Linked DNA regions of Xenopus tropicalis. The protein of the gene in region 2 interacts with the protein of the main gene of each other region in a pairwise test. Links are inferred from orthologs where the notes say so. Each region holds a gene or a part of one and is shown on either strand. Other genes may lie near its edges.

What was found.
Region 1: the proteins of nup62 (region 2) and bfsp1 interact in binary tests that used the Homo sapiens proteins (3 or more experiments, as listed by UniProt). The two-hybrid records come from large-scale screens. The link is inferred for Xenopus tropicalis from reciprocal best matches to the Homo sapiens genes NUP62 and BFSP1.
Region 3: the proteins of nup62 (region 2) and kansl1 interact in binary tests that used the Homo sapiens proteins (3 or more experiments, as listed by UniProt). The two-hybrid records come from large-scale screens. The link is inferred for Xenopus tropicalis from reciprocal best matches to the Homo sapiens genes NUP62 and KANSL1.
Region 4: the proteins of nup62 (region 2) and agr3 interact in binary tests that used the Homo sapiens proteins (3 or more experiments, as listed by UniProt). The two-hybrid records come from large-scale screens. The link is inferred for Xenopus tropicalis from reciprocal best matches to the Homo sapiens genes NUP62 and AGR3.
Region 5: the proteins of nup62 (region 2) and iscu interact in binary tests that used the Homo sapiens proteins (3 or more experiments, as listed by UniProt). The two-hybrid records come from large-scale screens. The link is inferred for Xenopus tropicalis from reciprocal best matches to the Homo sapiens genes NUP62 and ISCU.
Region 6: the proteins of nup62 (region 2) and oip5 interact in binary tests that used the Homo sapiens proteins (3 or more experiments, as listed by UniProt). The two-hybrid records come from large-scale screens. The link is inferred for Xenopus tropicalis from reciprocal best matches to the Homo sapiens genes NUP62 and OIP5.

What each region holds. Positions count from the first base shown.
Region 1 is NC_030681.2:30,135,342-30,140,631, forward strand, and holds the start of bfsp1 (filensin), read right to left. Parts: upstream 3,523-5,290; 5' UTR 3,447-3,522; coding exon 3,073-3,446; intron 1-3,072. UniProt on the Homo sapiens protein: Required for the correct formation of lens intermediate filaments as part of a complex composed of BFSP1, BFSP2 and CRYAA. Involved in altering the calcium regulation of MIP water permeability.
Region 2 is NC_030684.2:38,697,635-38,702,157, reverse strand, and holds part of nup62 (nucleoporin-62 C-terminal-like protein), read right to left. Parts: coding exon 4,502-4,523; intron 4,334-4,501; coding exon 4,187-4,333; intron 3,080-4,186; coding exon 2,927-3,079; intron 2,442-2,926; coding exon 2,358-2,441; intron 1,688-2,357; coding exon 1,603-1,687; intron 1,491-1,602; coding exon 1,346-1,490; intron 1,230-1,345; coding exon 1,180-1,229; intron 74-1,179; coding exon 1-73. UniProt on the Homo sapiens protein: Essential component of the nuclear pore complex. The N-terminal is probably involved in nucleocytoplasmic transport.
Region 3 is NC_030686.2:17,302,215-17,307,316, forward strand, and holds the start of kansl1 (KAT8 regulatory NSL complex subunit 1), read right to left. Parts: upstream 3,549-5,102; 5' UTR 3,517-3,548; intron 3,072-3,516; 5' UTR 2,934-3,071; intron 1-2,933. UniProt on the Homo sapiens protein: Non-catalytic component of the NSL histone acetyltransferase complex, a multiprotein complex that mediates histone H4 acetylation at 'Lys-5'- and 'Lys-8' (H4K5ac and H4K8ac) at transcription start sites and promotes transcription initiation.
Region 4 is NC_030682.2:37,463,565-37,468,087, forward strand, and holds part of agr3 (anterior gradient protein 3), read right to left. Parts: intron 1,736-4,523; coding exon 1,659-1,735; intron 297-1,658; coding exon 233-296; intron 1-232. UniProt on the Homo sapiens protein: Required for calcium-mediated regulation of ciliary beat frequency and mucociliary clearance in the airway. Might be involved in the regulation of intracellular calcium in tracheal epithelial cells.
Region 5 is NC_030677.2:146,312,788-146,317,856, reverse strand, and holds the start of iscu (iron-sulfur cluster assembly enzyme ISCU, mitochondrial), read right to left. Parts: upstream 3,062-5,069; 5' UTR 3,033-3,061; coding exon 2,943-3,032; intron 1-2,942.
Region 6 is NC_030684.2:115,742,698-115,747,893, forward strand, and holds the start of oip5 (protein Mis18-beta), read right to left. Parts: upstream 3,176-5,196; 5' UTR 3,079-3,175; coding exon 2,844-3,078; intron 1-2,843. Other genes in the region: nusap1 (nucleolar and spindle-associated protein 1), read left to right, coding at 3,596-3,688. UniProt on the Homo sapiens protein: Required for recruitment of CENPA to centromeres and normal chromosome segregation during mitosis.

The DNA.
Region 1 (5,290 bases), on a different chromosome or scaffold from region 2:
TTGCCTCACCAGCAGAGAAGTACAGCAACCCTATAATAGTAATGATCCATTCCTTTAATTATGTCTATAGAAGCTTGTTATCTTGGACCTTGTTAAACCATCATCTGAGTGTCAGTGACACTGCACATGCTCAGAGTGCTCTGGGCAGCTGAGCTAAGCATTGTAGTTGTCAGAAATCATAAAGCAGACAATAAGGTTTATCTAGCATAGAAGCTGATGCTACAGGGCTATTCAATTCTGATGCAGGATGCACTTGTTTCTGAGCTGCCATGTAATGTGAATCTGAATTAATTACTTATTAGAATTGTATTGTGAATTTTAGATTCTAAATATACTGTACACTATTGGCCCCTTATTCTCATATAACAGCCAGCAGCTCAGAGCATGTGTGGTGAATGAGCAAAAGAAAGAAGAGGAGCTGCTGTGGAACAATTCAATCTAAACTGAATTGGGCTCTTGCTAAAGCCCAAAATATAGTAACTCAAGTCTAATTATCTGTAAAATTGTTACATATAGGTCGGTAGGGGTGGGTTTGCTACATTAGTACCCACAGCAAAACCAATAGCAAAACACATAATAATCATTTATCATGCTGTGTAAAAAGTGGAGTAAAACATTACTGGTGATGTTGCTAATGGCAGCCAATCAGATGCTTTGCTTTGGTTTTCTAACTGTTGAAATCTAATTGCTGATTGGTTGCCCTGGGCAACATCACCGGTAATGCTTCACTCCACTTTTCACACAGCATGATAAATATACCCTGTATGTCTAAATGGACTTATAGTCTGTTTCCCTCACAGAATGCTGCTACAAATAACATGCTACCAAATATGAGACATATAAGAATCAGTTCTATGGCACCTTTGGCAATAACTTTTTCATGATATGAATATTTACTGAAACCATCCTTATTGGAAGAGGGACCCACGGATGCTCATGTATTTTTTTTAACTCAGCAGCACTAAGGGAGCCAAATGCATCTTAGAGCTGATAAATTAAAGTCCCACTGTGTATTCCCTCCTCTACCTCTTCATCATATACTGTATGCCAAGCAAAGCCAAGCAATGGCATCCGTTTTGTTTTTAACCCATGATAAGTGGAACAATTCTCAATTTACTTGTGTTGCCACACTGTTTCAAAAAACTCATATCTCCTTTAAATTATTCATCACCTTCATGCCTTATTCATTCTATCCCAGGACATTCAAATAACCACAATTAAAAGAGCACTCTCTGCTCATGTTTCACCTCCTTATCTGTGCCTGAAGTGCAACTCACCTCCTTATCTGTGCCTTATCAGCAACTGACCAATGACAATCCAGTAAATAAATGCCTGTGTTTTTTTTTCAAGTCTGGTATAGGACGGTCACAGTTTTTGTTTTTTTTTTCACGTCTGATACAGAGCAGTGCCCTGCTTTTTTCACATCAGGATGGCCACTAGCCCTGTAGGTTTCTAGGAGCTGTGATCAGATTTAGGGGAATAGCATAAGATGCAAAATACAAAGAATTTTAATGATTTTATATTGTAAATGTATTTCATTTGGTATAAATTTCACACACAAGGATTATGATTTTTGACTATACATCCCCTATACCTTCAGTAACCACAGCGCTAAGCTCTTTCCATACCCTGGGGTTATGGATTTTTGCTTACCGGGCTGAATTATCAAAGACTGAACCTGGAAATCAAGAGATTTCAAGACCTTCAATCTTTTTAATTTATCAAAACTTTTAATGACCTGACTCATATATCGAAGCTGATAATGGTGTCATTGCTGTTAGAATGAGTCCCACTGCGCCAACACAATAATTTCCTATGGGACAGTGCACAGTGCAGCAGATTCTGACTACCTGATGAGTATCACATTCAGAGAGAAAGAAAAGCCCAATTATTTTCTGGGTTGGAATGAATTGTTCCAGCACTGAAAATAAATTGTTAAATCCAAAACCCCAGCCCCTTGAGAGGCAGGTAGAATTTTATTTTTTTTCCCACAATTTGTGGGAATTTTTGGTGATAAAAAACACAATTTTTTCATGATATATTAAATGTCAAAACCACAAAAAACACTGATACAAAACTTTGCCATGTAACAGCTGTTGAGGTCATGTTGTTTTATGGTATTAGAGGTTTTCAGTTATTTTGGATGCTCCATTAGTTGAAAAATGCCAACATTTCAAGGTTTTTGCCCTTCTTTGTGATGCCCTCAATGTGTATTATGGGACATGTAGTCAACAAATGTTTTTGCTGAAATTCTTTATCCTTTCCTGTCTTCTACAGAATTTTATGTGATGGAGTAACAATTGCTTATCCCAATAAAAGGAAGATTTTAAACAGCAGCCTGCTTACATTGTTTTGAGAGGGGATTTGTGTAGTAGTCAGGGGAACAGACAGTCCAAAAATAGAAAGCTTTATTATATCATGTAGCTGCCATGATTTACAACCCTTGAAGAGAGCAAGAGAGTCAGATATATAAATAATATCTGAGAATATGTAAAATAAAAAAAGAACATAGTACAGGTATGGGATCCCTTATTCGGAAACCCGTTATCCAGAAAGCTCCGAATTAAGGAATGCCCGTCTCCCATAGACTCCATTTTAATCAAAAAATTCAGAATTTTAAAATGGATTTTCTTTTTTTTTTTCTTTTTTTTTCTCTGTTGTAATAAAACAGTACCTTGTAATTGATCCCAACTAAGATATAAATAATCCTTATTGGATGCAAAACAATCCCATGTGGTTTAATTAATGTTTTCTTGATTCTTTAGTAGACTTAAGGTATGGAAATCCAAATTACAGAAAGACCCCTTATCCGGAATACCCTTGGTCCTGAGCATTCTGGATAATGGGTCCGATACCTGTATTCATATTTGTTAAGAAAGTGTTAAAGTGTAGCATGTATATAGGCATAATATATACAACTATTCTGAAATATGCAGGGTAATACATCTATGAGAACTTACTGGCTTCTCTATCATCATTACCTAGTAATGAAATATACTGAGCTGAACACGTTTTCCTATAATAACCAAAGCAAAGCATTCATGGCAATGGGAAGGGCAACACATCGCTTACTTGTTTTTAAATTCTTCCACCATCCTCTGGGCATCTTTGTACTCCCTTTCGAGACGGGACCGATCAGAAGCTAGCTCCCTGATTCTCTGTTGGTTCAGTTCTATCTGTTCTTCGAATGCTTCTTCCAGGCCAGAGATTTCATCCATTCTCTGGAAGGTCTCCAGCTGCTTCCTAAAGATGCCATTTCTTTGCTCCAGTACCCTAGCTCTGTTAATGTAGTTAGCAAACCTTTCATTTAGTTCATGCAGGTTTTCTAGTCCTTGAACCTGTGTCAAGCCAAGGTTGCCAAAGTCTACTAATTTTTGCTCATCAAAAGCGTCGCTTCTTTCATATTTATCCTTGCGCACTTCGTGCCGGTAGCTAGATTTATACATATTTCTCCGCACTTTGCTCTGTGGACCTTTCCTTTTTCTGGTCAGACCAACTCGGTTGATTTTTTTTTACTGGGCAATCAGTGACATTTCCCTGGCCCCTTTCTCCTGGAATTCAGTGTGAAACAATTTGCTGACTAAAATAAAGAGCAAAGCAAATAGCAAACACAGGTTCTGTTCTCTATATTTCCACTGCTCATCAGCACTTGTTTTGTTCTGTCTGCAGCAACAGTTGGTAAATTGCCACATGAAGAATGTTCTCTGAACAACATAGAAAGGCCATAGAAATACATCAATATAAACAAGCCGGTTAAAATAATGTAGAAAGACTGAGGTCTCTTCTTTAAATGGGCAAGAGATAGAGAAAAGGTGGCCGGGATTTTTGCTTCTCAGAGCATATACCTTCTCTACCTACTGAAAACACAACCTTTAGGGCCAGTAGCAACAAAAAATGAAAATCTTTTATATACAGTCATCCACTGACCTGAATTTTATTTTTTTCATTTCAACTTTCTGTGCATTCAATAGTATGTTACATCATCACCCTGCATTATTATTACATCATATTTAAAGATCCATGGAGCTCTTTTGTAGTATTATCATTCCCTTCCTTTCTCAGGGTGAAATGCGATGTTTCCTGCATTTAACACAATTTCAATAAAATTAAATGGAGATGTACAACCAAATCAATGGATTTCAGCACTTCATTAGCACCTGCATAAAATCCCTACCTCCTGTGTAAAGAGTATAAATAAAGGCTAATCTTCATCACTGTATTTCCATAATTGAAACCTGGATAATTGTGTTCCAGAACTATCCTGGCTTTCTAGGTAACAGAATTGTTTCTAATAGCAGCAGAAGAGTAAATTGAAGCTATAAGCGAATGCAAGATTGGCGTGCCATTGATTCAGCACGCCATTAAACACAGAGCCATATACAGAATCTGGTTTATGTAATGTTATAAAACATGCCGTATATATATGTATAATTCATGTTGCAAAGTAAGAAGGCAAGTGAAGAACAATTTTTAGCCTTTTTAAATTCCAGACTATTTTATTATTTTGTGCTTGATCATGTCTGATTAACACACAGGCTGTGGGGTGTCTAAGGAATCCTAAGCTTTTTACATTTACCAGAATTTTTGAGTGAACCAGTTTATATTACAGGATTTATGACTCTAAATGGCATATTATTCAATGTGACCTTTGGACACCACATATTAAGTTCCTGGTTCCTCACATCCTCTTTTGCCATTGGCAAATTTATTTCTCAAAAAAAAATGCCACAAAAAAATGCCCAGTGACTGGAATGAGAAAAAATGGGCAGTGAAAAATGTCTGTAAAAATTTGTTGCGCGTAAAAAAGTCACCTATTGACTTCAATGTATTTTGCAAATTTTTCAGTGTTTCATGAATTTTTCAGCAGTTCCGCAAATTTTTGGAAGTAGCGAAATGGGACAGATTCGCTCATCACAAATAAGTAGTCAAATTCCCAAGTTTGATTCAGAAAAGAAAGAGCTCACCAGTGGGTGCCAAACCCCAAACCTTTAGTTAATAAAGGAAGATCACGGTAAAAACAATGCTGGGCTTGCACTTCCAAAAACTCCAACTTACCGGCCAAGTATAAAAACGTTTTAAAAAATAACATGTTTATAGAAGGCCTCATACATTTCCTGCCTACTTTACACTTAATCATAGGCTCCAATAAGCTCCTATAACACTTTTAGTGCCTACACAGCATTAAGCTGTGTAGGCACAATTCTTAATACATTTCTTTTTTACTTTTTTACACTTGCCCTGTACTTTGGAGTTCTTGCAAATGCAACTCCAGCATTGCTTTCACAAAAAT
Region 2 (4,523 bases):
TTCCTCCAGAGGAGTCAGAAGGTCCTCCAGTTCTTTTTGCTGTGACAAGATGAAGTCCAGTTCCTGATCCAACCTGATAGAAGAGTAGAGAGGGTGAAACAGACCCAATAGCTTCCAAAGAGCAAGCTTAGCATGCAGGTGTACCTGTTTAATCACCATATATTTCTACACAGCCAGACAGAAAATGAAAATACACACAGCAAAAACAAGATTTTACTTTCTATTGAATTGTTTTTGTTTGTGGATTTTACATTACTTTAAACATTGCTTTTTCAATCTGTTCACATACTTGTTCTTGTGCCTGCTGTGAGGAAGATGATTGAACGTGATGGACATACATCTTTTTTTCAATCTAACTTACTATGTTACTATGAAATATACAGAAAATGACAACATATAAAAAGGACTTCCCCTTCCCTATGCAACCATGTCAACTGACTAAGGACAATACCAATACCCAATGATGGACATCTTGATCAGCAAAGGCATAAATCTTTTTAGATGAATCAGCCCCAGGAGCTTCAGCAAGAGGAGAGCTACTCTGCTGGTATTTAAAGGGTGTCTTGATAGGAAAAAATAAATAGGTGCATTGGAAAGGGGAAGTACTTTTAATATGTTTTAATTTCCTGTACCTTCTTCATGGCAGGGGAGATTAAACCTTTGGTACCCACTGCCACGTGGAAGGAACAGGAAACTACTTTTGCCCACTACAACTTTGGGATTTTTATCTTTACAAAACCCAAACTTTCAGCACTGCTTCTTAAGATGAGGCACCAGAAGTCCCCTATCTAGTTACACCAAGTTTGCATATGCGTTCAAAGATTGACAGGGCTCCAGCATTGATGCAAGTGTTGTTACTGATCCTCCCTCTCCTTTCCTAACATCCCACCCCCTGTCCCCTTTTCACTTTGAATTGCATGGATTGTGATTCCCAACTACTCATGTTTTATATTTCCTACTTTTTTTTTTTTGCTATGAAAAACTCAATCTATTTCTATAAATGAGAACATTAAAAATAGAACCAACTATTATTTAATAGGTTTATGCAATATTGTACATTTAAAACATTTGATTTTCAGCTCAGGTGTGCCTTTCTTACATATATTCAATCAATCAACCAAACATCATTCATCTTGGTCAAATTTTCTATGTTTTTGCCGTTTTACTTCCTACTCATACCTTTTCTGGTCCAGTTTAACTTTTTCCATTTCTCTGTGTAAAGTGGTGATCTGAAATCAGACAAAAAAATAAATAAAAATAAATTCTGCCTGTGAAAACATTATTGCACACACACAAAAACTGTTTACACTAAGCCACACAAGTGTTTTTTTCTCAGATTTCTCACCCGTTCTCCATTCTGCATAAGAGTTCTGTCCCATGCGTTGACCTGAGTTGCTTGTTGCAGAAAGTGTTTTTCTTGATCTTCCAATTCCAAACTCCACTTATTAATCAGATTTTCTAGCTGAGCATAAGTCATTGTTGCAGCAGTACTAAAAAGACAAACCATTATGTGGAAAAACACAAATCAAAATATCAGTCAACCAGAGAAATAAAATTAATGACTGCTATGCTGATAATGGTATCATTTGTGACACCTCTTACCCGACTCCTGCAGCTGCAGCAGAACTGACAACATTAGCCTGAACTGTGGTTCCAGAAAGTGGAGTTCTCATACCAAGAGAGGCTGCTGAAAATAAGGACAGAAGTCTCTAGATGAGAACCAGCAACTATTTTATGCATGAAGAAAGACTTCAACTATACTATAATCTATTTTCCTAAAGAAAAGCCATAGCATTGGACTAAAGATTTGGTTTATTCGGCTGATCAGTCTAATAATTTATTGCGAACAAGTGCCTACAAACATAGGCAGTATCACACATGCAAACTTTTATTTTGCACATAAAACAACCATAACTTCATGCAAAGGAGAGAGGTACCACAGTGCTCCATGGTCACTGAGCTCCTAATGAGTATTGTGCCAGTGCGCTTCCTCAGTATACTGCGTATACAATACACATGACCCACACTGCTTATCTTAATTATTGCTCAAAATGCTCAATATGGCAAAACAGTGTATTGTAGGGCAAGAAAGTGCAAAGCAAGGAAAAAGGATGTAATAGTGCACAATTTCCATTATTTACACACAATTACAATAAGGTGGAAAAGAGCATAGTAAGGCAGAAAATTGCAATATTGCAAAACCCTGCATTACAATCACCAAAAACATCTGTTCTCAAGGCTCTGTTGTTCACTCATATAAGAGTAAACTTAAAATTACATTATGATCCCGTGAAAAAAGTGTTTAACACAGAACTACAGAAATTATTGCTATGCTAAACTTCCCACTTTATACTTACTGCTGGTAGGCAATGTTCCTGTTGGTGCAGCACTGCTTGGCAAAATCTTCATTCCAAAACCCGTGCCTGCTGTAGTCGAACTCACTAATAAGAGATATGCATCTCACTTTACTGAATACAAAGCTATGCACTGAGGCCCTTGGCATAAGCAGGAATCAGATTAAAAGAAACACAAAGGATCACAAGTATGACAAAAAATAAACTATATAGCTAGCAGATTAGGGCATCTCTTAACAAAAATAAGTAAAATAGTTTATGGGAAAGCTCTTTTTCAAATAACTATCCACACAGAAGATAGTGTAAAACACAAAAAACAGACATGAGTAGGGAGAAACTGCCTACTTTTTAACCATAACTCATAATGAGAAAGTGCTTATGAAGTAGCCCTAATTTGTCTCTTTTTTAACACTTACCACACTTTAATAGACCACACAAAAATAACATAAAAAACAACTTCTGTTGTATTTTAACCAGCAGCTCACAAAAAAACTGGTGAATCACGTTGGTAACTCAGTACTGATTATTTATATTGAACAGTACTATGTTTAAAAATGAAAATGAGAACTTACATGACAGTCCACTTGCTGCTGCTGTTGTTGTTGTCGTCACAACAGCTGCAGCAGTTGAAGTAGCCAAAGAAGAGAAGAGAGAGGGCCCAGATGTCCCCAGAAGGGAAGAAAGGGAAGGTGTGGCTGTTGTGGCGGTTCCTGTGGATACCATTGCTGTATCAATTTAAACATAAGAGTTACAACTGTTATATAAAAGGCAAAACTTAGAAGAAAGTACATTTTACAGAAAAAAAATAAATGTAAAACTTCAAAAGAGAAGAAAAGGCATTTTATTGCCAATAGATTAGTCAGAATGCTATATTTATTCTGCAGAATGCTTTACCATACCTAAGTAAACAGCTATAAAAGCTCTCTCTGCTTGTTTAAGACAGCAGCAGCCATTTTAACTTGGTCTGACTTCACTTCTGTACCTGCACACTGCTCCTGGAACAGCTCTAAGCTCAGATTACACAGCAAAGAAAGGAGGGGGAGAAGGAGAAGGGAGGGAGGAACAAACTGATTTTTCTGAGAGCAGGAAGTCTGACACAGAAGACCATATATTATATATATATATAATATATATATATATATATAAAAAAAGAAATGTGGTGTTTCGTTTCACTGAAGACCCAAAGCACCAGTTCTGTAAGTGGTTATGGCTGTATTTACATAGCCCTTTCGGACAAAACTTACTTAACACTCACTTTAACAGTTAGTTTACCTAAAAAATAACTTTTAGTATGGTGTAGATAATGGAATTCTAAGACACTATGAAGTTAGTCTTCATTTTCAATTAAACACATTTTCAAGACAACAAGGAAAGACAGTTAGTGATACACAATTGTCATTCTGGTGTGCTTAACCCCACCCCACCTCTTTTAAAGATATCTTTACTGTATAAACAGTCTCATTCTATATTGCTGCAACATTGGAACATGGTTTACACAGTGACCTATTTTACTATCTTTGGGGAGTTGATCTCAGCAGAGATGAGGAATTTAGGGAGGACGTTTTAAGCACACTAGGATTTGAATTCTGTATAGCCTTACCTGATAGTTTGGGGCTTTACCTATAAGGGTAACTTAACTGCCATTTTGTTTACAAAACTCAAGAATATAAGGTTACTTGGGTTTTATTTTTTGTAAGTATTTTAATAGTTACAGAAAATAAATAAACACAAATATGCATATACCTGAAGATAAGACCTATGTGTAAAATAACCTTTTTGAATTAAGACAGAGCTAAAAGGTCAATGTGAAACTGCCAGTGGGCAGTAGTTACCTGCAGATGGGTCTGCTGGTTTGCCCAATGATGTAAGGCTAAGCCCAGGTGTTGGTGCTACCGACTGCGAGGCAGCTGGAGTAGAAGCAGTGGAAGGAACAGCAGACTGAGTCGATGACAATAAACCAAAGTTCAAACCAGGGGCTGCTATTGAGAAGAACACATAGGGAAAATGGTGATCCTCAAAGAAATGAATTAATAGGGTACAAAGATTGGGAAGAAGAGAAAGGCGACAATAAAAAATAGGTAAACCATTGTACCTAAACCCGATTACTTTCAATGTGTAAGACATATAAGAGAAAGGTGAGTTCTCACCTTGTGGCTGGGTTCCAAAGCT
Region 3 (5,102 bases), on a different chromosome or scaffold from region 2:
GGGCTGGCAGCACATTTATGTAACATTAAGGGCACACAAAATGGCTTATCAAGTAATAGCTTTCCTCCTGTGACTTCCTGTCTCATCACTCCCTCAAGGAAAACCTACCATGTCTAGGCTCACCAGATCTCACCACACATGGACAAGGGGGGGTTTTGCAGAGATACAAACCATGGGGAAACGGGCGACTGCCAGGAAGGACAGCAGCTTACACTGCATTGCATCATATACTCAGCAACAGAAACATCCAGCCCACTCAGTGGCAAACCCACAGCTCATTTCCTGCATTCTTTAGCCAGCTCTATAGTGTGGTACCAAGTATGGGTGACTAGCCCTCTCTATGTACAGCAGGGACAGCTAGGTCAGCTTTCTTTCTACTAAAAAAGGAAAAAGTTTTTACCTACTTAGAATTATCACTTTAGATCCTAAGAACCAGAATATCTTGTGAGAGTGAAGTTAAACTATAATGAAATTAAGGAAAAAAGACAACCCTCTCAAAGGTCTAATCAATTTATTTTTTTAGAGGAAAAAAAAAAAAGACACCTTTTGAGATCACTTCAATTTTCTTCTCCATACAGAATACTAGAACAGTTTGTTATATTAATGCACTAGTATTTATTATTGCAGCCCCTAGTCTTATTCAAGTGACAAGTGCTATAGTAAGTGCTATGAATAAGACCAGGGGGCTGCAATAATAAACACTAGTTCATTAATATAACAAATTGTACTTCTGTTTATAATAAATTGTTTGTAATAAATTGAAGTTATCTCAAGGAGTCTCAAGTAAATTAAATAGACCTTGAGAGGGTTGTCTTTCTTACATCTAAATTTTATTATTGTTTGCTTCCTACTGTCACACCTCTCCTTCTAATCCTGACCACTGTCCTACATTAGGGGTAGAGTGCTTCTGCCACTGTGACACGACTACAACTCTCAACATGCATTGCAAGCTCAGCTAATTGTTACATTTTGAGATCTGCAATTACAGAATAGCTGGATCACTGACACTTACAAATTCTTGCCCATAATAAAATTCCTCTCCTAATTCATAAATCATCCTCCTCATCCTCCATAATTTTTAGATTCCCTAGGTAATGACCCACTTCATATTCCCTGATAACCAATCCTCTTGTCCTCACATGTGTTGTGGGATTATTATGCATGAAACTGAGACTGTATTATATTACATTTTTTCTGGAGGCATTATATATATGGATTTGGCATGTGTTCTGGGGGCTAAATATATGGATCTGGCATGTGTTTTGGGGGCATTATATATGGAACAGGCATAAGTTCTGAGGGCATTATAAATGGAATTGGCAATGCATTTATCCTACTATGTTTCTGTGATATTTTATGTGAAACAGACATTACAGGTAATCCTGCAAGGTAATCTAAGATGTATTTTAAATTAAATTTCCACAGCATTTTTGTTGCTATGTGTTCTGGGGTATTACACATGGAATTGGCTGTGGGATATCATGAAAGAAGCTGGCAACTGAATTAAAAAAATAAAAAGGGAACAAAGAAAAGCATAATTGCAGAGGAAATAGGATAATTAAAGGTAGAATGGCCAGGTGCTGCCCCATATTTTTTTAATAGTATATGGACTACGTTTTTAAAATTACATGCTCCTCACAAATTAAGCAGGCTGCAGAGGCAGACCAAGCTCTAATGTTAAAGCAGCTGGGAGAAGCATCTAGTAAAAGGCCCCAGGGCATTACCATTTCCAGTGATAGGCTGTGTTGTCAATGATCCCTATCGACTATGGTCAGCAATGAGGACTCCCACACTCACAAATGGTAACAGTGAGGAACAGGGTCTAAGGGATGTTTCTTGTAATATTCAACCATCTGGCTTTACCCATAGACCATCCCTACCATGGATTTTCCAAGACATGAACCACTAACCCTGACTGCTATCTCACCATCCCCTAACTAATCCACTTGTCTGATGTGACCCATGTCCTATGAGCAGGCCCGGACTCGCAGTCTACAGATTCTGGCAAATGCCAGAGGGGCTGGTATAAGATGCCATAGACCACGTGTCAAACACAAGGCATGCGGCCTGAACTGCTGTTATTTTCAAAACATAATTAATGCACGAAGATGGCGTGTGATATGGTGTTTCAGGGTGAGGAAGGATCTATCCTTTAGTAAGATTAAGTATCTTAATAAAAAATTCAGCCCGCAGCTTAGCCTGTGTTTTAGATTTTGGCCCCCTTATGTGATTGAGTTTGACACCCCTGCCATAGACAGTCACTATTTATTGGGATTTTTTGGCCTCTCTGTACATGATATGCCATGGCCTATTTTATATCCCATTCCAGACCTCCTTATGAGAAGTCGAGATAAATAAGTTCATCCAGACCCCAAGAAAGAAAAGAGCAATGCTGGTGAGCTGTAAGGCAAGGAGCAGCATTAGTAAGGCAAAGCTGTGGGTCGTGTTTACTTCAAGAAAGTTACTGTTCCCTTCAGCCATGGGCACCCAGTCTGGATGTGCAGCCTTAGCAATGTGCACTGGATTGCTACCCATTTCTTTTCCCACTACAGATATTTAGGCTAATGGCACAGGACAAGGATTCTGTGTGCCACTGCCTTCCAGTGGAAAAGTGACAGAGGGTAACAAAATGCCTGCCATCTCGCCTACCTCCGTCAGAGGTCCATGGCCTCACATTTGCTTGCACATTTTAATACCGGACATCCGCTATCATCATTTAGAGGCACACTGTATGCTGCTTAGAAGTCATTGCAGTTTGCATTAAAATTATCACTAATTATATAAGATTTATATGTGTTTCATTTCATTTTTATGGTTACCACTCTTTTACTGTAACCCCAGAATAAATGGAGATAAAGGAATTTCTGTAGGACCTGTCCTGTCCTTTCAGTGCTATTAAAGACTCACATTATAAAAGCATGGCGCTTACTCACCATATTATCAGACTGTACCGATTTTCATTTGATCCATGGATCCTTGTTGCCTCATCCCGGCTGTTCCTCGGAGGCATCCTTGTAGCATTGTCTGCCAAAGGCCAGTTTGGGGGGTTCCTCTGCATCATCCATTGATATCTAGGATCACAAATAGTCATATTTTTTCACTCACGCTATCTGATTTAGTTTTTTTTTTTTTTTATTTTGTGGAAATTTTTAATAGGGTGGACTCTGGTAGACAGTGGTATTTGTATGTTCTCCCCTGTATGTATTTAGTATGAGTGAACATATATAGTATAAGTAGTGTCTGCCCTGCATGTGTGGCACAGTGTGGTAGTGTGCACTGGGGCTGTGCTCCCCCCACAGCTGATCCTATAAAGTTCCAGTATCTAGTGTATCTGGCCTGCTGACTGCTAGAGAATACTGGAGAATTCCTCACAGCCCCCTTCATCCCCAACTCTTGCAATGGGCTGTTCCATCTCTGCCCAGCCTCCTCTGGATGCCCAGGGGTGCTCTACCCCCACTCCCACTGCCACCTGGTGCATGAACCCCACACCCCAAGCACCCCTCAGTTTGCACCTACCTGCACAGCTCAACCAGTACTGCTGGCTCCGGTGCCACCCTTTACCCTCCCTTGCAAGCTCCGGATTGGTGAAGGTCCGGAGGAGCTTCGCGCGATTGGTTAATGAGTTGTCCGTCAAGCTGTAAGGGGCGAGGCCCTGTGCGATTACTGTGTCCCTACTGTGTGTCTGGTTGCAGGATATGAATAAGGGGGAGGGGGGCTTTAATGGGACATGGGGAGACCGCTAAAATAGGGACACTTTGCACCATGAGCGCTGAATTAATTGTTTATAAATCTGCAGAGAAGTGACGAGGGAGGGATACTCTATATCCAAAGCTGGAAAGTGGGTTATGGTTTTGGGGGGGCCATGAACCATATCTTTATGTAAAAATTTCCATCCACAAAGAGACTTCAATGCGCAAGAATGTGGGGTCTGTCACACAGCGTCCCAGTTATTCCTAAACTACAGCTCCCAGCATCCTCTGAGAGGAATTGAAGAGCACAAGTGTAATGCCACCATAAGCTCAATGTATGGCAGTTACCAGGAGTAACTTGGTTACCCCCACACCCCATTACTAGTAAATCTCACACTGGCCTGAAGGCTTATATAGCTCAACAAAAGCTTTTGGGACACATATTGGCTATCCCTAGCCTAAAATCTGAAGACAATTTGTTGCCCATGAAATAACATGTGGAAATCACTTCCTGATATCTATGCCACAGATAAAAGCAGAATTTCTTGTACCAAAGCACAGCAGTGACACAAGTGCATATTTATTAAATTTTACCTTTTAGTAGCATATTTGAAATATTTTCCCCTTATAAATATGTCCTTATATAATATACCCCACTATTTGGCTGCCTTAGGTGCCAGAGCCTGTCTGTCCTGTGCTGACTTCACCTCACTTCCATGGTTCAGTCTGTCTCAGTGTTAGGCTTGCAGAAAGGGCATAAGTATAACTAAATGTCACTAGGTTACCCCCCCCCCCCCCATAACTTGAGGTACTTTTCTCCAATATATATTTAAACTGAACATCAGCTAAGCATTTCTGAGCTGGCCTTAAGGCAGCTTACTGGCCCATGTATGTGGCATCCCTGACCAGTGTTGGACTGGCCCACCAGGATACCAGGAAAACTCCCGGTGGGCCCAGGCGTCAGTGGGCCCTCCTGCTCCTGACCATTTGGCCTACTTCATGGTCATTCCCAATTTCTGAATAGGAACAAAGAGGAAAAATAGATGGAAGGATAGATGCTAGCATGTAAATAAAAGAAACTTGGAGAATAAAGTGGTTGAGTGAGGAAAGGAGGAAAAATAGTTTGGAGAGTGAGCCCAAGGTTTTCCGGTGGGCCCCTCTAGGGCAAAAATCAGATCAGCACTATTTGGCCCAACATGGTCAAATTGGGTCTAGATCCCATCATTTGCTGACTTCACCAAACTAGCAGATTTAGCAGTGGTTGCAGTGGCGTAACTATAGAGGAAGCAGAACCCGCAGTTGCGGGGGAGCCCAGGGAACAGGGTCCGGGCCCGGATTGTGGGGTCTGAAAATGTGTGTGCTCGCTCAGGGGTGTATTTAGGTCCAGTGTTGTCCTAGGCACTGGACCTAAAT
Region 4 (4,523 bases), on a different chromosome or scaffold from region 2:
CTAAAGGGGGTACATTATTTATTATAACACACAAGTGTCAGTGAGTCATATGACACAAATTACATCACTGAGCATCATTTATAACTGGAGACATCACTAAGCATTGCTTATAAGGATATAATTTAAAGGATATTTGTGGCTCTTGTGCATTTAGCATACAAAAATGTTTGCAGCGAAAAAGCAACCACAGTAGTTCAGAGAAATATACAGCATCCATGCCTTTATTACTTACCAATAAACATTATCCGAGGCACATACTGTCCATCAGGGGAAAGGTTTTTGTCAGTTGTTTCATGCTAATATAAAAAATGTGAAAATGTAAGCGCATGAACTTTATATGTATACATTAATGCAATCCAAAAGATCCAAAAGACATTGCCCCCCCCCCCCGTGTCCTTGCAAACCTTATACAACTGCACACATTGGGCCAGATTAAACTCCAAGACAACATGCTAGTTTATCCTGCATCATGTAATAACCTTATGTGCGAGATTCTATCTAAGGAGAAAATACTTTTCTCCTAATTCAGTTCCAGTTTTTTGCATTGACATCAATAGAGTTTCCATGGGATAAGTAGTGAGATAAGTTTTTGTCACTGAATTACATCTGGCTCTATGGGAAAATCTGCAATTGAATTAGGAGATTAGCTTTCTCATCAAATTGAATCTGACCTATTGACTAGGTCAGATTCAGATAAATCTTTTAATGCAACATTTATATTGTTCTTGAGAGGAGTTGCCGAGGGAGTGGGATTGGCCTGGGGGCTTGCCTTGGGTACCCATTTGTGTTGGCCTGGCTCTGACATAGAATTTATTCCCTAATTCAGGTATGATACTGCATTGAAACATTTTTCATGGAAATCAAGCATAATTTTGACCAACTGCTGAGTAGAGTAAGCCGTACATTGGTAAATTACAAGTTGTGTTTGCATTTTGCTGGCTAATGTTCCAGTGCTGAAAACTGCAAATTATTAGGTGTAAGTTATATGTATAGAAGCAGCATGTAAAGGGAAGGTGGGTAATATCGGGCTACTTTGATTGTTTGGCCCTAGGGCCAATGAATTGCAATGAAGAGCATAGGAGCTGTCAGACCAAGGACTGCATCAATGAGCTGATGCGGTCATCTGACGGGAAAATCAAACCTGCCCGATTGACACCTGCCTGATATCGATCATGGAAACCCATTGGGGGGGGCCTATACACGGGCAGATAAGCTGCCAAATCAGTATAATGGAGTTGGATTTCCAACTTAAATCTACCCATGTATGGCCACCTTAACATTTTCTCAATTCTAGGGATTCCATGGATCTGTAAGCCTAGTACTTTGTACCTTATTCAACAAGGCAGAAGCAAGAAGCTTTCTCTTGGGTCCTAGATTGTAGGGAGTGTGTTGCTGTATATGTTCTTCCTTATGTAAGTGTATGATTATCAGTAGCTAAGGCTTTGCTTGGAGGTGAGGCCCAGAAATGTACTTTGCTGGGATGCCAGGAGTGCAAAGTTACACCCTCGTGTCATGTTCTTCATTTCTATGGGAATGTAAATAGTCTAGCATTGCTAATTGTCCAAACACATTTACATATAAACATATGCCTCACCTAACAGACAGTGTCTGACATTCATTATACATTGATGTACATACTGTTATGCAAAATCACTTACCATAAGGTTGAGCATTATGAATTGCTCTTGGGCTAATGTCTGAGCTTCATCACTTTCTGCAAATACTTTCTTCAATGCTGATGACAGAAGAATGGATTTATATAGAAATATGTCTGTAAACAAATTACTACTTTATACAAAAGAAGAAAACAGTTTTGGGGGACAGATTTTATAGAACTGAAGGTAAACCTGCAATGCATGCATGCTAGGGTAGGGACTAATGTGAATGTCTATGTAAATCACTGTTGGCACTCTACCAATATGGGATAATAATTACAAATCTATTGCGCATACGTGGATGTGCACATTCAATGCAAAGGAGAGGGCAGAGAACGACAAATGGCGCAGGCTAGGGTCGCCCACTGTTTAAATCCAGCCAGCCTATTCATTCACCTATCCTATGTACTTACAGTTTAGACCCTATATTCAGGATGAGTGGGTCAGACACTGGCACTGCTATGATGTTATTTAAGCAATGCCTGAGCTTGGCTTCAGATGTGGTACTTTTTGTTCTCTGTCCTGCTGCACAGTTCACCAACCCTCTGGTATTTCCGAGGTGATGAGAAACAGTAAAGAATTATTGGGCTTCTAAGTGAGCCATTTATGTGACTTGGGTAATGTATATGTCATGGAAATAGATGGGCTCTAACTAAAAATAAGATAAATACACTTGTATTTGGAATTAGACCCCACGGTCCCCACATAGGGTCTGCTTCCTCTATGATTACACCAATAGCTGCTTCTATATATGCTTGCAACACGGGTCTTCTTTGAAGTCCACTAACTTCTACTTATGCACCTGCTCAGCCCTTTTTTACATTTAGGAAGCCTTACGCTCTCTTCCAGTGTTTAATACAAGACTGTAGGGAAAACTTGGCAAGTACTCTCCCTGCCCTCTTGCTATATAACAACACAAGTCCTGTGAAGCTGCATTTGCTCAGCTGCTTGCCTGTATGGTAATAGCCCATATATAAGCACAGTCCAGAATTTAAAACGTAAAAAGATAATTCTATATTTCATAAATAAGCTGTAAAATAAAGCAGTAGCCTCAACTTCCAAGTTATAAACTTTTTTTAGGAGAATCACTGATTTCATTTGATGAAAATGTTCTCAGGGATAACGGTTTTACTGGGAACCACGGTGGCCTGGGTTTTTAACATTCTCCTGTTTGTTTTTATAATCTGTTAAATGTATCTGTACTCTAGCAATTATAAAGTCATAGTGATTGAATCCAAATATTTGTTATACAGGTATGGCACCTGTTATCCAGAATACGTGGGGTTTTCTGGATAAGGGATCTTTCTATAATTTGGATTTCTGTACCTTGCTTCTACTAAAAAATAATGTAAACATTAAATAGACCCAATAGAATTGTTTTTTTCCTCCAATAAGGATTCATTATATCTTAGTTGGAATCAAGTACAAGGTACTGTTTTAATTTTTCCAGAGAAAAAGCAAAATCTTTTCTCATAATTCAGTTCCAGTTTTTCCCATAGATTTCAAGAGTTTTGACGTGATAAACTGTGAGATAAGTTTTTCTGAATTGAATTGCATCTCAAATTGAATCTTGTCCATTTGTTTCTACTGAGTTGAATCTGGACCAATATCTACTACCCTCTTATCAGTACTAGGGGAAAACTAATCCAATTCAAAATTATACATGAGACCAACACTGTGCGCAGCTTGGGTTTACTAATTGATGGGGAATTAAACTTCAGGAGCCAAATTTCAGCTGTGGTGAAACATTCCTTCTTTCACCTAAGGAATATTGCAAAAATGAAACACCTCATTCCTTCTGAGGTTCTTCCAACCCTAGTTCACGCCTTCATCTCATCACGACTGGACTATTGCAATGCCCTCTATGCAGGCCTTCCAAATAAAGACCTACACCGCCTGCAGCTGGTACAGAATGCTGCCGCAAGATTGCTAACAAGCCAACCCCGCCATTGCCACATAACACCAATCCTTCGCTCACTGCACTGGCTACCCATAAAATGGAGAATCCTTTTCAAAATTGGGATGCTAACATTCAAATCCCTACATGGCCTGGGCCCCGGATACCTGGAGGACTTGCTGCAACTATGTCACACCTCCCACAATCTTAGATCAAATGGATCCAATAATCTGACCATCCCTAGAGTTCAACTGAAAACCTTTGGATCCAGAGCTTTCTGTCATGCTGCCCCTACCCTGTGGAACGCCTTGCCAAACGGGATCAAGACAGCTCCAACCTTGGACACGTTTAAATCAAAACTGAAAAGCCACCTGTTTAGCCTGGCATTTATGTCCACATAACTTATCTGAGACAAGCTTATGCGCTTTGGGTCCCACGGGAGAAAAGCGCTTTACAAATGTTTGTTGTTGTTGTTGTTGTACCTAATGCAATTGAAGCTACACCCTATGGGCAGGGCTGACCATTCCGGATTACTCAGGTAATCCCAAGATTGTGGCAACAAATTATTAAATTCATGGCAGAAGAACTCTCACTCTTGCAAGTCCTAAACCCAGGGTGGGACTGAGGTGTGGAAGGTCTACCGGGGTTGCTGCACCAGAGGCCCCACTGCCTACCTGTGCGCCCCAGTGCCTTAGGCAGCAGCAGCAGCCCCAGTTCCTCCCCCTCTCTCCCACTCTACACTTACAAATTTAGTGTCGCAGTGGATGCACTCTCTGAACCAATGTTGCGGCCCCCTCTGGACCTGCTCCGATGCTAAATTTGTAAGTGACATCTGAGGCAAGGTTCTCCCCAAGTGCCAGGCCCATTGTGTTTTTTCTTGGTGTCCTGCTGGCCCAGTCTGGCCCTCCCTAAATCTGTCCACATGGCAGCTGGGCTTAGGACATACATAAGGGTTCTTCTTTTCTATGCCA
Region 5 (5,069 bases), on a different chromosome or scaffold from region 2:
ATGCTGAGACAAAACAACCAAGCATCTTTAACAAGCAGTTATTTTTGCATGCAGAATGGTAATTTTCTTAACTGTCTGTTTAGAACACACATTTGAAGCATCGGCTTACACTTTGCTACAGATAGATGTATTGATATAAAACCCATGATGTCATAGCTAATGCATCAACATTTTGTAGTCATTTCCAGTTTTATCTTCTCTTAATAGACTTTCATTAGTCCTTATAGAGTCTATTAAGAAGACAATATTTCCTTTGTCCTTAGAGGTGATGTTAATTTAAACAGTTAAAAAATATGCTCTTGAGTGTAATGCAAATAATTCTGAGGCCTGTAATTACACTGGGACAGAAACACAGCAATCTGTATAAATATGGCCAAGGTTACTTGGCCATCTTCTGTGCCCTCTATGATTATGTGACAAGTGACAAATTAAAAAGAACTTGTGGTCTGAACAAGTCACAAGATGTTTACTTCTGCTGCTAATCTTGTGGCAACAAAAAGTCACACATGGTTGCAAATCTATTACAGATGCCAGGGAACAGTGCCAGAGAACAATGAAACCTACACAAACGTAAGCTTGGCCACAAAATCTGAAAAAGTCTAATTAAAGGAGAAGGAAAGGCTAAATCACTGAGGAGAGTCAAATGTTAGGCACAAGGCACCAGTGATTGTAATCACTTACGTGAAACCCCTGGCTGGTGCTCCTGTTACACAGGCAGGTGAGCGATCCTCTTCCTTCCTAACATTTTGGCACCTACCAGTGATTATAACTTTTGTTCTCCTTTAAATTATTACTAACAAAAATGAATTAGTTTAAAAAAAAAAAAAAAATCTGTACAATGTTTTTTTTTTTTTATTGCTTGCTGTGAAAAACTATGGAGTACAAATGGTACTATTCAGCATACAGAGATACTGCTGTTAATAGTGAAATGTTCTGTCACTATATTGACCCACATTTTTATGCCAGCCTTGTTTACAACGTGAATACAAACATTACATTTCTGTAAAATAAGCACCAAACCACTTTTATTGAAATGCTAGATTTAACCCTGTTTTAGGGAGCACTGCATATAATTAGTTAGATCTAGGCCTATATGGGTTAGGGCAGTGACTCCCAACCAGTGGCTCGAGAACAACATGTTGCTCACCGATCCCTTGGATGTTGCTCCCAGTGGCCTCAAAGCAGGGGTTTATTTTTTTAATTTCTGGCTTACAGACAAGTTTTGTTTTTTTTTTTGCATAAAAACTATGTGCACTGCCAAACAGAGCCTCCTGTAGTCTGCCAGTTCACATAGGGGCTACCAAATAACTAAACACAGTCCTTATTTGGTAGCTTATGTACCTTAACTTTGGTACAAAAGTTTTTGTGTAAAATTGCCATTTGCTCAGTTAGTATATAAGCTGCAAATTTAATGGAAGGCAATGAATGCTGAGCCCCTGTAAACACTTGCATCAGATTTTATCTTGTAAACAACAAACATCTGTAATATCTATAGCACAGGCATCACAGTGCTTTAGTTCTTTCAAGGAGAGTTACAAAGGTCAAAACACCTATCCTGACCCATACTTCATTCCCATTCAAAAGAATGGCAAAATCCCTATCTATACTATGTGCTGTCGTATTAACCATCAGAGCATTTTAAAAGTCATATATCTCTAAATTGTTTTAAATACTTTTAACTTTTACTAAATACCGGTGCCAGTGAATATGGGTGTTTTGGTCTTTACCAAATCACAGGATTGCCCTCATCCAGGAAAGATGTAGTTAAATATAATGTCAGGTCTGCCAATCAACTAGCAGCGAAGGAATGAAACTGACCACCCCCAAGATGAAGATTAGCTATCATGCCACAATCCAAATTGTATGTGTTGTTGACACAGGAAAGCAGCCAAAGGAAATAAAGTGGCACAAATTCTTAATGAAAACAAAAAGTAATTTAGAGATGTATAATTTGTTTTTGACAAATGTGTTTTTGCTTGCCAAAAGTGCCTTGTATGAGAAACTCACAACAGGTATTGACAGAAAGATAGCCATGCATACTTTTAATGATATTTTTTGCAAAACTGTCTATAGGGGCAGAAAAATAAGTCTGAGAATTTGGCATCACAACCACAATATTTCCTTTTCCTGAATTCTCCCGTAAATGTCCCCTCATAACCTTGAAACACTTCAGCTACCGTAGTGGTGCAGTGAATTATATTTATATATGTACATTTGATACTGACACTAAAAAACTACTCTTCAAAATACAAATGTCCACGAAAAGTTGCCTATAGGTCATGTTGCTCGTTTTTTACCGAAAGAGCTGCATTTGTGAGTAATTGTTACTTGAAGTCCTAAACCAGTTTTACCAACCTGACTGTCCCTTCTTAGCCAGTCAGTTATAGCTTGTAATTCTAACGGACAGCATGATGAATACTTTTCTGGCAAATTAATCAATAGCATGCAAAGCCTATGGTATGACAGAAGTAAAAAAAAAAAGAATACATTTTTGATGTCAGTATCTCTTATGGCAAACATGTCTTACTTAGCATAAAGTTTTACCATATTCCCTATACCCTCAGAGTGCTAGAGTCAGTCATTGTCAATTCCTATCAGTTGCTAACTCGGCTTCTCTCTTGAGACACCTTTTCTCTCAAGCCATTCGGGGAAGTGAAGCTGACAACCCCACTGGCTGCTGTTACTGTATTTCACCACAACCGAAGCTGACAGCCTTCTATTAAGAATTAAAACGACTCATGTTGTAGTCCTCTGTAAAGATGGTTACGGTGTTAAAAGATAAACGTGTCGGCTTGCATTGGCAATAAGTACTTTATAGTATGGGCTGCGAGGCGAGCGCTGTCACTGTGACACCTGTGTCACCTTATGTAACACTCGTTTCCTGCTCCCACACTACCCTGTTCCGTATTGGCCCCGTACGCCCCACGCACAGCGCTGCATACCTTCTTATGATAAGAAGCACAAGGCACCCGAAACTCGTGCACCCCACATTTTCTCCATAAGGAGCAAAACACCCGGCCCACGCCAGCCATAGCGTCCTCCACTCGCGCAGCTAGCAAATAGGGACGCGGCGTGCCAACGCCACACAACGTGCGGGTCACATGGCCTGAGGGGGCGTAACCAACAATAAAGTTTGTTGCAGCCAGGTTGCGTAATAAGGTTCAGCGTTCTATTATGTGTAACGTTGAAGTGTGGAGCTGTCATGTACTTGGGCTTTAGCTCATTCTGCAGGGATAAGTTTCTTTTGTTGCCCTATAACTTTATTAGGTTTACCAAGTTCAACCGCAAAGTCAAGGGACTCTTTATGCCTATTATCGCTAACGTGGAAGTGGAATTGATGTAGTTTACATCCAGTAGTGTAATAAAGTAGCGCGATATCGGAGTTGGTTTTGGTCAGTTTTTTATTCCAGGCTAGAAGAACCTTTGTACGTATTTGTCATAGACATGGGTGTCCGCAAAAACTGCGGGGAGGAAGAGTCATTAAGTAAAAAGCAAACTGTGTTTTACGTACGTATTAGGTTTATTAGCAAAGCCTGTAACGCTGCTCGCAACTAATAAGTGTAGAACCAGGGGGCTGTTTAAAGTGATGGCTCACCTTTTATTTCACTTTTAGTTTGTTATATAAAGGCCAATTCTATTAAACTTTTCAATTATATATTCTTAAGTCTTTATTATTTGTTTCCATAGTTTTTGAATTACAGTATTTGCCATCTTGTTCTCTTTGCAGCTTTTAAAAGGGGATCACTGACACCTGAGACAAAAAAACTATTGCTCTGTGAAGCTACAGTTTTATTGTTTAATTCTTTTCTCAAGGAGCAGGTAGCTGAGAAAAACCAAGGACAAGCTGGGCAATATGTTACATTTCAACACCGATCTGGGTCAGGTGTGTAGAATTCTAGGGGGGGGGGGGGCAAGTGGCCTTCCTTGCCTCTTTTTGCAGAGGCCTATGGCCATGGACAGTTTGTGCTGGGCCAAGTCGGCTGGGCATCCTAGGCAACCCAGCCAGCCACCTCACCCCTTTGCATGCATGCATGCATGTTGACTACTGGGGAGGTAAATGACGAGTGGGAAGTGGGAGGACAAGAGCCCAGACTAGTGACAGGTTACATTGTACCCTGGGCACATGCCTCTTCTGCCAGACCCATTTCTAGCCCTACAGAAAGTCACTATATATTGGGCTGGTGCAGGGTTGCTTGGGCCTCTATGTGCTTTAAATCAGGGGTTCCCAACCACCGGGCCGGGGACAGGTGCTGGGCTATGGGCTGTGCTGAATCGGGTCACCTCTGGTCCCACACAGCCATGACAACAGCTATGCAAAGCCCAGGAAGCTTTCTACTGATTGCTACAAGGACCAAAGTACTTAAAGGAGAAGTAAAGGCTACCAAAGAGTTAATCTCAAGCTGCAGGCTTACCTTCAGTTGTCTCAATAGTGCCCTCAAGTCTCCCCATATTGCAATCGTTCAGATGATCAGAAGCCAAACGTGAAAAAAAAACGCCGAGCTGGGTAAAGAGGATTCCCATAATGCATCGCTCCTGCACAGACCCTATAACCCAGGACACTAGGCGGCGCATGCGCATGTCTCTCTTCAGTGACACAAGCAGGCATGCTCCCCTACCATCTGAGCTGGCCCCTATGAGCGTGCACCATTAGCCGGACACAGAAGGAGCAGGCGAGTGCTGCGGGGAGCAGGGGGGGAAGTTTGGTCGCCGCAGGGACGATGCTGGGGGGAGCTGGAGGATGCGCATTTAGGTGCACAAAAGATCCAAGATGGCTGACGCTACAGAGTGCAAATAGAGCAAAGTTAAAAGGCACATTTTGGGAGAAGGGAGCATTATTTTAAAAAATAAAGTTGGCAATCTACTACAGGCAAGGGGGCTCTACAATATATTAAGGGCTATAGTAGAAGCCTTTCCTTGCTCTTTAGAGCTCCATACTAACCGGCAGGGGATGTCACCACTTAGGTAAGAGTAAGAAGAGCAAAGGGGCTGGGCGCATCTAGTTGCAGGGAAACAAGCTCAGGTCTCCCACTGATATTATATATGATTATGTATTATGATAGCTGTATTAG
Region 6 (5,196 bases), about 77 Mb from region 2:
TTAAATGAGGGCTGTCAAGCCCACAAGCGCAACTTGCCTTTAAAGCTGGTAATACATACCCAAATCTAGATGGATTGTTTGCTTTAGTTCAAACAATACAGCCTGACTATCTGGGCACGTATAGCGAGTCGGAGGCTATTTCCCCAGATAATTCTTTCAGTCATCCCAAGTAGTTAAGGCTAAGGGCTCTGGTACACGGGGAGATTAGTCACCCGCGACAAATCTCCCCGATATGACATCCCATTGGCGAAAATGTAAATAGCGGCACCGCGTATGCCATCCGACCGGCGATTTACATTTTCGCCAGTGGGATGTAATATTGGGGAGTTTAGTCGCCCGCAACAAGGGAGATTTGTCTCGGGCGACTACACTCCGTGTGCCAGAGCCCTAAATGGCAAAGTTTACATAGTAGATAAGAGATGCTGTAGAACACCATTATATTCTACAGAGCTTATCAGCTATATAACCTGATCCTTTTCCAGCTCCCACTTCTACACAACAGCTTATTTATATAACTATATTAGTCTCTGAAGCAAAAAACTTTTCCAGTGCATAGCAACAGTATGTTGTAAAATACCTTTAAACACTATTGGTCAATGTTCCCCTGATGCATGCAGTTTACAGAAAAGGGAATTAAAGCAGTATAACCCGATTTTTCAGCATTAGCTGATTGAACAGGGATTGTGTGAAGGTTAGTTCTTGCATTTACCAGGCAAAAACTGAAAGTCGTCCCCATAATAACCTCTGCAGGATGAGCTGCTCCTTTTCTCAAAGGGTAAAGACACATGGAGCTACTAGTAGCAGCTACGTGTCAGGGCTACAAAAATAGACAATGCTGACCATTTATGGATAATTGTCTCTAAGTGTGTTTAGCAGAGGCAATTCTCATTATTGCCTCTGGCAGGGTATTTCTGGCATTTAATAGCCAAGTAGCTCCATGTGTCTTCGCCCTAAAGGTGGTCATACAGAAAAAGGTTAAAAAAAAAAAAAAAAAACTTGGCCATTCTAGACAGTCAGCAGTTTACTAGACTTTGCAGGAGGGCAGGGCTGGAATTAGAGGTGGGCAGAATAGGCACCTGCCTAGGGCACAACAGTGGGGGTGCTAGGCAGGTACCTATTCACCTACCTCTAGTCTGGGCTCTTTTGCATTTGCCGATACCCCGTCCACCAGTTGCAGAAAAATGATCCACACAGACCAACTGCAAACTGACAGCATTAAGGGATAGCCTGTCAAAGCCCAAATCAAAAGGTGGCTTCTTATCTGTGGCAATTAGGCACCCAAGTGGGTTAAAAAACACCTGACGCTGGAGATGCAACAAAGGAAAAGGCTCATTGCTACACATTTTGGACGTGTCCACTTATTCAACCTTTCTGGGAAAGCAATATACCATATCTTTAATATTGAAATATCAAATGCTCCTGAATATGTTTTGCTATTTCATATGGAACTGTCTACTTTTAAAAATTCGCTCGAACCGCACCTACTAAACTCGCCCAAATTATTAATACCGCAAATATGGAAACAAATTGCAACCCCGACGCTGCAAGACTGGTATAAGAAAATTGAAGAAATACATAAATTTGAAGAACTCTCTTTCCTCTCCACAACACTACAACACCTATAGCTTAGTATCACTGGCTATCTTTCAAAGAATCGGACTTCTACAAACAATCTATAACCTAGCTCGCTAGAGGGACATCCACCTTCCCCCTTTTTATTTAAGTTTTGATACAATGTATAACTTTGAATGAATACAACATGTAAGATGCAGTTACCCCTCCCACCCCTTTGTTACCCAAAATCAATAAAACCATATTAAGAAAATGAAAAAAAAATACAAAAAACACACTTGACAGCACTCTAAGGGGCACATTTACAAAAGCACGAACGCTCGAGCGTTCATGCGAACACTCCGAGCATATTTTCGCCGATTTTTTGGGGCGTCCGCACGACTTTTTCGGAAAGGTTTTACCGCTGTTTACAATTGTTCGGTACGAAAATTTCGTGACTTTCGGATCGCCAATACGATATTATCGTGACTAATATGATTTTTTGTAAGCATTTTCGTGATATTTGCGATCTTACGAAATTTTCGTTTCCAATACGATTTTTTTCCCCATTCGTGATTCGGATTCGTGGATTAGTAAATGTGTCCCTAAGACTTTACTACAACACAGCAGCATATCTTTGTTGAGTCTACTTCGGGGTTTGCAGGCCCAGACTGGCTATCTGTGGATTCTGGCAAATGCCAGAGGGGCTGCTGTAAGATGCCATAGTCACTCACTATTTATTGGGCTGGTGGGGGCTGTTTGGGCCTCTGTGTATCTGAAATGCCTGGGCCTATTTTGGATCCCTGATGGTTTTTCATTCCCAACCCTTTCCATTGCTGTTTCCCAAGCTCTGCTAAAAAAAAAAAAAAAAAGTAGGCAAAGGGTAGAGTGTTGGGGAAGAAGACTTGACAAGAGTGACCATGGCAAATGAGGGTGCAAGATTCCCTTTGCAGGGGTGGGGAGGCAGCAATGGCAGGGTACCCACTTCTACAGCACATGTTGCCTTGGCTTTTATAAAGCAGAATCTGCTTCAGGTTTTGTTGCCTTTTAAACACCTGTGAATGGCGCCCTCTCTAGGTCAGCCCTTAACACCACAGCTATATTATTGGCAAGTGGAGAAAAAGAAAAAAGAAAAAAAAAGGAAGGCAACTATATCAGTTTATAAACAATGTACAGCTCTGTTCTTCCTGCCTTCTCATGTAATAAAAGGCCCTGGGCAGACGTACTAACCCGCACAACCAATAAGATACTTGCATTTAAACTGACCAAGCCTAAGGCCGCTTAGGACTCACGCAGGCAGGCGATGGCAGCCAAGCTCCTCTCCTCCCCACACACACTGAGCGAGTCCCCCAGCACCGTGTAGCAGTTCTTACACAGGAATACCACACACGCCTCAGGCCCGCCCGAACTGCCATTTAACTTCCGACATGACACCTCTGGGTTTGTCTGCTCCAAGTCCACCGTGCTTTCCCCGCAAACAGACTGCATTTCCGCAGCACTACACAATAACCAAGCGCTCCCCGCCATGCTTTTGGAACTTTATAGTTTGTCAAAGTCGCACTCTGATTGGCCAACTACTAGCCTCCGATTGGGTCACTGAGAACGCCAATCAAGAAGCCCTCCCTTCAGGTCTGTGACTGAAAAATAATACTAGTCCCATCGTCGCAATCTGCAGTGGGATGCTGGGGAATATGTAGGTAATGTTTTAAAAGTATCGTGTCAAACGTGTAGCTGCTATGTTCGTATTGCAATAAAACATAGCTCTCAAAGTGAAACAGCTGGATTTGAAGCTTTTATTCCCAGCCAATCGAACACATGGTTACGCCAGCGCCATCCAATAGAAACTGGACGTACAAGTTGTGTGGGAGGGTATGTTTACTCAGCTGAGCGTTCATTGGCTAGAAATGACACGCCACTGGCCAATGATGGAGCCGAGAAGCTGAGTTTTGAAAGCAAGCCGTTAGTTCTTCCTACGCGCCTAAACGTCAGTTTTGTTGTATGCAGTTGGAGCCCGTGTATACACAGGAATCGCAACGTTGTGACTATGGAAGCGCCGACTTTATCCCAACTGGAGGGTCTGAGGTACTCGGAACTGCAAAAGCTGGCAAAGACAGCGGGACTCAAAGCTAACCTCAAGGTAAACATGGGCAATGTAGCAGAGAGATGCAATCTGGATTGGCCAGTTACTAACCAGTTTCCTGTTATTGTTCCCTCTCACAGGGCAATATGGGGCCTTACTCCTGACATGGGAGGGATCTTTAGCCACCAATCACACTTTTACATTACTTGACCTATGGGGGGGGCCTATGCTGTGTATGCTGGGGGGGCTACAGGTTTATTATTATTGTTACTTTTTATTACTTATCTTTCTGTGTGGGCCCTCTGCTATTCATATTCCCATCTCTTGTTTAAACCACTGCCTAGTTGCTAGGGTAAATAAGCCCTAGCAACCATATAGCTACTAAAATAAATGGAGGGCTGCTTGACAAAAAGCTAAATAACTGAAAAACCCTAAAGAAATAAAAAGCTAATTTAAAGGTGAAGTAAGGGTGAAGACGCACAGAGCTTCTAGTAGCAGCTTCTTTTTAACAGCTGTTTAATTCCAGAAAATATGCTGCCTTAGACAATACTGAGCATTGCCTCTGCACACACATAGAGACAATTATCAATAAATGATCAGCATTGTCAATTTTAGTAGCCATGAAAATGAGCTTCTATTAGGAGCTCCGTGTGTCTTCACCCTTAAGGTCACAACATTTAGGCTAATGTCACACGTAGTGTATGTAGCGTATTTTCCGCAAGTCGAAAACCGCTTGCCAAGGATATACTACATACACTTAAACATCCTTCTACCTGTGCCTGCATCCGAATGCATTGAATACACTCAGGTGCAGGCACATGTAGCTGATATCCGCCAGAAAACGTGAGACTTTGCATTTTTGGTGGATATTGACTACATGTGCCTGCACCGTATTCAGTGCGTATGTAGCGTATTCTCAGCAGACTGCTAAGCGCAGTTTTCTGTTAATAGTGCTGTTGATCAGTAGTGCAGGTATGGGATCCTTTATCCGGAAACCCATTATCCAGAAAGTTCCGGATTACGGAAAGGCCATCTCCCATAGACTCCTTTTTATAAGCAAATAATTTTGATTTTTAAAATTTATTTCCTTTTTCTCTGTAACAATAAAACAGTACCTTGTACTTGGTCCCAACTAAGATATAATTAATCCTTATTGGGGGCAAAACAATCCTATTGTATTTAATAATGTTTAAATTATTTTTCATTGGACTTAAGGTATGGAGATCCAACTTATGGAAAGATCCCTTATCCAGAAAACCCCAGGTCCTGAGCATTCTGGATAATGGGTCCCATACCTGTACTGAGGAAGTGTAAAAAGTAACAGTTGTAACTAGGGATGCACCGAATCCGCTTTTATGGGTTTCGACCGAACCCCTGAACCTGCCCTGACGGATTCTGCTGAATCCCAAACTGAATCCTAATTGGCGTATGCAAATTAGGATCGGGAAGGGTTAAAGATTGGCACGCAGCGAACAATTTCTCCCCCCCTGCCAGTTAACCCTTCCGAATGCTAATTCGGATTTGGTTTGCTCGGGACCGTGGATTCTTGAAAAAAAAAAAAAAAC